Linked DNA regions of Oryctolagus cuniculus. The protein of the gene in region 1 interacts with the protein of each later gene in a biochemical or structural test. Links are inferred from orthologs where the notes say so. Each region holds a gene or a part of one and is shown in the gene's direction. Other genes may lie near its edges.

Region 1 (3,905 bases):
AAAGTCATCCTGATAGTTTCAGGTGGCAGCCCAGTGTTTGCATCCTGCCCTGCCCCCTCCTACCGGATAACCTTCCAGGTAGGGGGTCCCAGCCCTTTCTGCCTGATTACCTTCCAGGTGCAGCCCAGTATCTGCACTTCAAACGCCCTCCCTGCCCTTCCTCTAAGGGTGCCCCGGGAGCAGCCAGCCAGACTTCCCCCTGTCTGATAACTTCAAGGAGAAAACTCAGAAGTTTTTCTATTTACATCCAAAAAGCCCTTTGTTCCAAGAGGAGCAGAGGTGGGGAAGCAAGACCCATCTCCTTAAAACCCCTGGCCTCAACCGGACTGCGCACTCAGCCCTCTGCCTTTCTGCTGAGCCTCCCACCTGCCTGCCTAGGAGTGCTCTCTCTACTCAACCATGTAACCTCGCTCCCCCCACCCCCAGTCCGAGCGACTGGGCACTCCCTCTCAGGTCCTGTCTGGAGAGGTGCCTGTCCGTTCTTACGGATGTCCTTTCTCTAATAAACTGTTACTTTACTTTCCACTACTCTGTCTCACGCCTGAATTCTTTCTTGCGCGAAGACAAGAACCCTGCCATTCACTGGTAACATGTGTGTGTTCTCCCTTATATGTGGGATCTAAAATTATGTGTATATACATATACATGTTTATTATGTAAACACCAGGTGTTGATTATTAGAGGCTGGGACGGGCGGAAGGGATAATGAGTATGGATTAAAAAAAATAAGGGAAGCTGGATTTGGTTCATCGTGATGCAGACACTAATATGATGTTAATAATAGGGGAAATGGGGTGAGGGGTGTCTGGGAGCTCTCTGCATTACTACCTCACAGTTTTTGTTTTGTGTATTAAAAACTGTTCCGAAATTAAATTAAAAAAAGAAGGCTGTTGCATTCATTCTTATTTAAGCATCCCTAGAGGGCCTCAAGCTCTGGCTCCAGGCCCCTGTCAGAGGCCCTTCAGCTCCTCTAAGTGCTCCAAGTTGCCATCGCGCGGTGAGAGCACCTATCTTAGCACCGGAACCGCCAGGTGATGCCGGTCGGTAGAGCCCGGAGCCGGACCGCGAGCCCACGGCTGCCCGCAAGGGTCCGGAACCAACCTGCGACCGCCCGGGTTTCCCAGACGCGTGCGGGGCTGCTTGGAGGGGCACCACCCACAAAGCCCAACTAGTCCGCCGCGCGGGCGAGCCGTACGTAGGAGCGCGCTGATTGGTCAGACGGACAGGCACCGCAGCCAATGGGAAAGCGCCTTGTTGTCAGGCGCGCCGCCGGCCGGCGCGGGGGTCCGAGTGGATGGCCGTTACCGTGGAGACGCCTGGTGAGTTCCGGTGCTGTGGGGTTGGGGGGCGTCTCCGGGGTTTGGAGGGGTGCGACCGGACTGTGCCAGGGCGCGGGCCGGAGCGCTGGTCGTGCGCGAGACCGAATCCCGCGAGAAGGCTGTGGGCGCCTCAGGCAGACCCCGGGGCTGCAGTCCGGGAAACTGAGGCCGGGCCTCCTGGCTGCCCCGCGGGCCTCGTCCCGGCCGTGCTGAGGGGCGGCTCCGGCCCCGAGAGTGACCGCGGCGGGAGCCACAGTTGATTCCGCCGCTGGCGTCCTCTCGCTCACCTTCACCGCAGCCGTGCGCGGTGAGTGCTGGTACGGGGAGCGCCGTTCACGGGGGTGGGGACGGAGGCCGGGGGATGGTGAAAGTGAGTGGGACAGAGGCACGCGGGGACTCTGGCCGGCTCGGGACCGGGAATCTTGACCAGCGTGCAGCACTGCTTCCCGGGAGAAGGCGGGCCCTGGGCTCGACAGGGCGCACCTGACACCCCCGGGTGTCTGCACAGGTGCTTTGGGGGCCGCCGATCTCGTCCGGATCTGGGTTGTGACAGGTGCGGGTGTGGGCAGGTCAGTTCCACGCGGCTCGGGTTCCCTCTGTAATTAGTTGCTGTGGTTGCAAATAAAATATTCTTAGAACGATCTTTAGGAATTTGCATGCTTGCGAATATAATTTTTCTTATAACGTGTCATAAATTGTGGAATACTAATAAAAGTTCGTGGAAAATGGAACTAAAAGGTAGGTTTGGGTACGAAAATTTTGAAATCCATGCATAGTTTTTTTTTATTAAGTAGTAGGTGTTTTCATGAATTTTTTGGAGACCCTTTGCATGGATTTCAAAAATATTTTGCATCAAAATAAACTTTTAATGCCAACTTTTGAAGGAACTTTGTACAATAAATATATTAATTTTTTTGATAGTACTTTAGATATTGGAGACGGTTCACTCTTCAGTTCCGGTGGTGGTGTTGTGGCTACAGATGGAGACAGCATGTAAGAGGGTGGCTGTGTGCCAAGAGAATTTTATTTACAGACGTTGAAATTTGAGTTTTATATACTTTGCACATGTCACCCGTGTTGTTCAACCATTTAAGAATGTTAAAAAAAAAAAAAAATCCTTTGCTCCTGGGCTGTACAAAAGCAATGGGCTGGTTAGCTTGCAGAAGGGGACCCAGGCCCAGACAAGGCGGTGTAGGCCAGGCCCCAGGCCGGAGCAGGCGGGAATCCGGTGTTTCTCAGTCTGGGTCAGGGTGCTGGTCCTTAGCATGTGCCCTTAGGCCAAGGAAACCGTACTCTGACGAGAGTTTGGGGACTTGTGAGTTGACACTGATGGTTGTTCCAAGGAGATGGAGCTGCTGGGTTAGGAGTCTGAGAAATGGTCCTAGGTAAAGCTTCCCGGATCTGAAAACCCATCGTCTGAAGTACTCCAAAAGCTGAGTTTTTGAGCTCTGACAACACCACAGTGGAAAATGCCGTGCCATGAAACTCTGTTTTATGCACACAACTGTTAAAAGTATTGTATAAAATTGCCTTCAGTTTACGTGCCTAATGTGTCTCTGAAACGATTTCAGGTATGTGCAAGTATTCCAGAATCCAAAAAAAGCAGAAATCTGAAACATGGCTCGTTTCAAATACTTCCAATAAGTGGTACTTCATCTGTACTTTCTCGTCTTTATTCAATAGCTGCTTGTTTTGTTGTTGTTTTAAGATTTGTTTACTTGAGAAGTAGAGTTACAGACAGAGGGGGGGAAAGAGAGAGGTCTTCCATCTGCTGGTTCACTCCCAGATAGCTGCCATGGCAGGAGCTGAGCTCATGTAAGTCAGGAGCCAGGAGCTTTCTCCAGGTCCAACCACCTGGGCCTTCCTCCACTGCCTTCCCAGGCCATCAGCAGGGAGCTGGATCTGGAGTGGAGCAGCAAGGACTTGAACCAGCAGCCATTTGGGACCTTGATGCCACAGGTGGGGACCTAACCTACTGCGCCATAGCACCAACCCCTGTCGTTGAGTTTTTCAATTCTGTAGAGGTTTCTGGAGGTCAGGGTGGCTAATGCTACATTGTCTCCATCCGCACATTGCTTTTACAGGTAGTGTGAATTCTCAAGTGTTCTTTTTAAGCTTTCTACATTTTAGACTAACTTTAGATTGGAAGAAAAGTTGTAGCAATTTATGTTCCACACCTTGACTGAACTGATGTCAACATCCTATGTGATCATAGTGTGCTTCTCAAGAACAAGAAACTAACGCTGGTGCACTGTTTTAACTACGCTTCCAAGGTGATTCGAATTGCACCAGTTTTGCCACTAAACTTCTGTTTTCATTCCAGGGTCCTTTCCAAGATCCCCGTTGCATTTCATTATTTCTCCTTCTATATAACAGTTCCTGTCCTTTTTTTTTTTTTTTTTTGGTCTTTCTTGGCTTTGAAAAGTGTATATTTTTAATTTTATCTGAAGGGGAGAGAGAGAGAGAGAGTGTGTGTGCTCCCATCTGTGGGGCCCTTCCTCAAACAGATGGAGCTGGGCCAAGCCAAGACTGGGAGCCAGGAACTCAATCCAGGTCTCTCACCGGGGCAGCAGGGAGCCCTCACTT
Region 2 (3,805 bases), on another chromosome or scaffold:
CAAAGAGAGCTGACATTGTGAACGGGTGAAGGACATGCATGAGCTTTGGAATTCAGCTCTGGCCTTTGCCGGCCACGTGGCCTTGGGCAGGTGGCTTGGCCTCCCTGAGCCGTGGTGTTCCCTCCGCAGACTGGGGCCCATGCCTGCTTTAAAGGACACGATGTGAATAGAATGAGATGAGCCAGCTCCTGCTGCTCACACCAGGGTGCACACACCTTGGGGTGCAGAACCTCTGCCGACCACGAGGACGCCCAGGAAGGCACAGGCTGCCCCAGAGATTTGGAGGAGGTGCCCTCGTTTTTATGTTTGAGAAAGCAGATTCCCCCTAGACTAGAATGTACAATTTACATTGCTTTTGAAGATGAAGCAGGTGTCTGTAAAGATATTTTGAGCCTGGTGGGGGCAGTTTGGGGGCCAACTGCAGGCCCTTCCACGTGCCCCCACTTTGTTCAGATCAGCGCTGGGGGTGCACAGGAGAAGCTCTGACCTCTGGCATTGACAGTTTGTATGGTGGTACACAGTAGGAGCTCAATAAGTACTAGTTCCCCCTTTTGCTCTTCTATGTCCCCTTCTCTCTCTCTTACACTCCCCGTTCTACTGAGCAAAGCCTGGGGATTGGGATGGGCCAAGCCACCCTGATCATGTGCCCCTGGAGAACACGCAGTGGCCCAGTGGGGCGGGGCGGGGTGGGGAGATGCTGGGCCCCGGGAACCCTGAGGAAGGGGGCGGAGGGGGGGTTCTTAGCGGGGCTGGGAGGACCCTCGGCCTGCTGTGCGGTTACAGACCCTGAGGAAGAAGGGCTTCAACGGCTGCGACAGCCCCGAGCCCGACGGGGAGGACTCGCTGGAGCAGAGCCCCCTGCTGGAGGACAAGTACCGGCGCGCCAGCGAGGAGCTGGACGGGCTCTTCCGGCGCTACGGGGTGAGCCCCACTCACTGTCTCTCTGTTGGCCCCCTCCGGCCCCTCCCCCAGGCGCTGCACAAGAAGCACAGGGAATGTGAGAGCCCTGAGGTGGACGAGGTGTTTGCCCTGACCCCCCAGACGGAGGAGAAATATAAAAAGATAGACGAGGAGTTTGATAAAATGATGCAGAGTTATAGACTGGCCGTGAGTAGTCGCATGGAGGAGAGCCTCCCTGTGGTGCATGGTGTGGCTTCGCGCCCGGCCCTCGGCTGCCTCGGATGGCTGCTCCGCTCTGAGCCGTGCTGGGGCTGTAGTGACCACTGAGGAACCCCTGGCCTTGGCCGTGACGAACCTGTGACCCTCGCTGAGCCTCCTCTTGGGAGGCACGTAGGCTGAAGAGGCCTGCGGCGTGCCCCTCCCCCAGCGAGCAGGGTACGGAGGACAGGAGCGTAGAGAGTGCTTTTTCCCCAGGTCATTTGGGTGGGGGGTTGGGGGAGTGGAGACCCAGCTTCCGACACTCAGCATCGTTTCGGGGAAGGCAGTGAGGGGGCGCAGGCCTTTCACTGCTGCGTGTGAGTTTGGGTCTCCTGGGTTCTAACCTGCTCCCCGTGTGTCCTGGCTGGCTGAGGACTAATCCACCTCCACCAGGGGGCGGCCCTGGTCCTGTGTGCAGCGGGCAGCGCCTAGGTCTCGTCATCCGGGCCACAGCGGGATCCCAAAGCGCTCCCACCAGTGCGCTTCCTTGGTGGGAGTGGCAGGCAGGACTCCAGGAGGGCCCAGGGCAGAGAGCCCCAGCTGCTGGCCGTAGGATGCACCGCCTGGGAGCCAGAAGAGCCCTCGCCTTCCCTCTCAGGCATTGTGGGCCCCGGGTCTGGGCTCACCCCGGCCTGACTTACCCCTCCGTCTTTCTGTCTAGTCAGCTGTCCCGGCCCCCAACTTTGCCATGCCTGTCACGGTGCCCGTGTCCAACCAGAGCTCCCTGCAGTTCAGCAACCCCAGCGGCTCCCTGGTCACCCCTTCCCTGGTGACGTCGTCCCTCACGGACCCGCGGCTCCTGTCCCCCCAGCAGCCAGCACTACAGAGGAACAGTGTGTCTCCCGGCCTGCCCCAGCGGCCAGCCAGTGCAGGTGAGGGCTGGGAGTGAGCCGTGCTGGGGACTTGGGGAGTTCCTTTTCAACAGTGAGTGTTTCCCTTCCCCCATGCAGCAGTCCCCCGATTGTGCGGCCCCTCCTCCCGGGGTCCCCAAGACTCAGTGTGGGACGGGGAGTGCTGCCAGCTCATCACGTTTCTGCTTTCCCTCCAGGGGCCATGCTGGGGGGAGACCTCACCAGCGCGAACGGAGCCTGTCCCAGTCCCGTCGGTGAGTGCCGCCGCCCTTCTGCCTGGCGGTGGGCAGGGTTGCCCCTCCGCCCCTGGGACCCGGAAGGACTTAGAGCAGTGCAGAGGAAGAAGCCAGGGTCCGAAGTGCAGGCCCCTGGACTCTGTGGCCTGTGGCAGTGATGGGTGTGGATGAGCAGTAGAGATGTAGGCTCGGGAATTCTGGGACACAGAATGAAGCAGCATTCCCAGTTGGAGGAGAGGATCTAAGGGCTTCCAGCGAGTGGGGTGCTGGTCTTGGGGGGGTGATAGTGCCTGGTGCTACGTGGACCACTGTAAGCACGGGCCGTACACACCCACATCTGTGCGTTCTCGCTCTGATGCTGACGGAAATAACTGTAAGCACACACGTGCAAGCCACAGAAGAAGGGCAGCTGCCCTGTCCCCCACCCTGCAGCCCGCAGTCCCGGCTGTCCTGTGCTCCTGTCTGTTTTGGTGGCTGACTGCGAATGTCACCGCTGACGTCACCTGACATTCTTGCCATTCTCAGAGTGATCCGGGAATGGGATGGAGGCAGCCACACACTTCCAGGGTGACTGCGTGCTCTTGGGGAACAGGGCAAGGTGGCATTTCTGACTCTGGCTGCCCCCGCACCCTCAGCCCTCAGAGTCCCCCGCCCAGCCTCAGTCGTCGGGCACTGCTCGTGCGCTGGGGTCGGGAACCTGGGAGAATGGGTGAATCCCCTCCCACTCCAATGAGAGCCCCAAAGCGAAACTTGCAGGCCTGGCCCAAACAGGGATGCGTGTAGGCCCTCACGTCCAGCGTGTGGAAGGCAGGCGAGGGCCCCAGCTGTGTGGCCCTGCACGGATTGTTACACCTCTCCCAGGCAGGCTGAGCCAGGGCTGATGGCACCTGTCCTGGCCGTTCTGCAGGTTATCGTGAGGATCAGATGAGATAGTGCATGTGTGTGAAAGGCCTGTGGAGATGGCGGAGCGCGGCGCTCATCGCTCATCGCTGCCGGTCGGCTGCTGCTGGTGGCCGTGTTAGCGGTGCTTAAGTGCCAGGAGGCCTGTCGCCATGGCCAAGCAGCTTGTTTCCCCTGGCCGCAGGCAGCTCGCCCGTGTGCTGCAGATAGCAGCCTCCCCAGCCGACGGCGTAGGGAGCACGCCGAGCGGTGGGTGGCCGGGCTCCTCAGGGTGGCTGATTCCGGCTATCGCCCCTTCCCCGCGCGGCCGTCCAGTCCTGTCCAAGGCAGATTCTGGGCGCTGAGAGCGCTGGACTGAACAGGTGCCAAAGAAGAGCATAACGCAAGGAGAGGCCCAGCCGTAGTAGAACCTCCCGGCCAGCACTGGGCCGGAGGTCACAGCCGCGTTCCCTTTGCGGCCTCGGAGCACCCAGGCCTGTCACGGGTATCTCGGGGGCAGGGCAGTGAACTAGTGATTCGGGAGTGAGGGCTCTTCTTCCTTCCGTTCCTGCAAGACTGGATGGCTTTAAGGACACCAGCTCAATGCCCACTCCCAGCCCAGGCGCAGCTGTCAGAGGTCCCGGGCGCTAGGGGCGGGCGTGGACAAGGGCAGGCACTAAC

What was found.
Region 2: the proteins of CABIN1 (region 1) and MEF2D form a complex in vitro, tested with the Homo sapiens proteins (2 studies listed by BioGRID). The link is inferred for Oryctolagus cuniculus from reciprocal best matches to the Homo sapiens genes CABIN1 and MEF2D.

Annotation. Positions count from the first base shown.
Region 1 is NC_091452.1:30,882,833-30,886,737, forward strand, and holds the start of CABIN1 (calcineurin-binding protein cabin-1), read left to right. Parts: upstream 1-1,210; 5' UTR 1,211-1,319; exon of another isoform or gene 1,320-1,636; intron 1,637-3,905. UniProt on the Homo sapiens protein: May be required for replication-independent chromatin assembly. May serve as a negative regulator of T-cell receptor (TCR) signaling via inhibition of calcineurin. Inhibition of activated calcineurin is dependent on both PKC and calcium signals.
Region 2 is NC_091438.1:42,273,219-42,277,023, forward strand, and holds part of MEF2D (myocyte-specific enhancer factor 2D), read left to right. Parts: intron 1-783; coding exon 784-921; intron 922-972; coding exon of another isoform or gene 973-1,107; intron 1,108-1,819; coding exon 1,820-2,030; intron 2,031-2,206; coding exon 2,207-2,263; intron 2,264-3,805. UniProt on the Homo sapiens protein: Transcriptional activator which binds specifically to the MEF2 element, 5'-YTA[AT](4)TAR-3', found in numerous muscle-specific, growth factor- and stress-induced genes.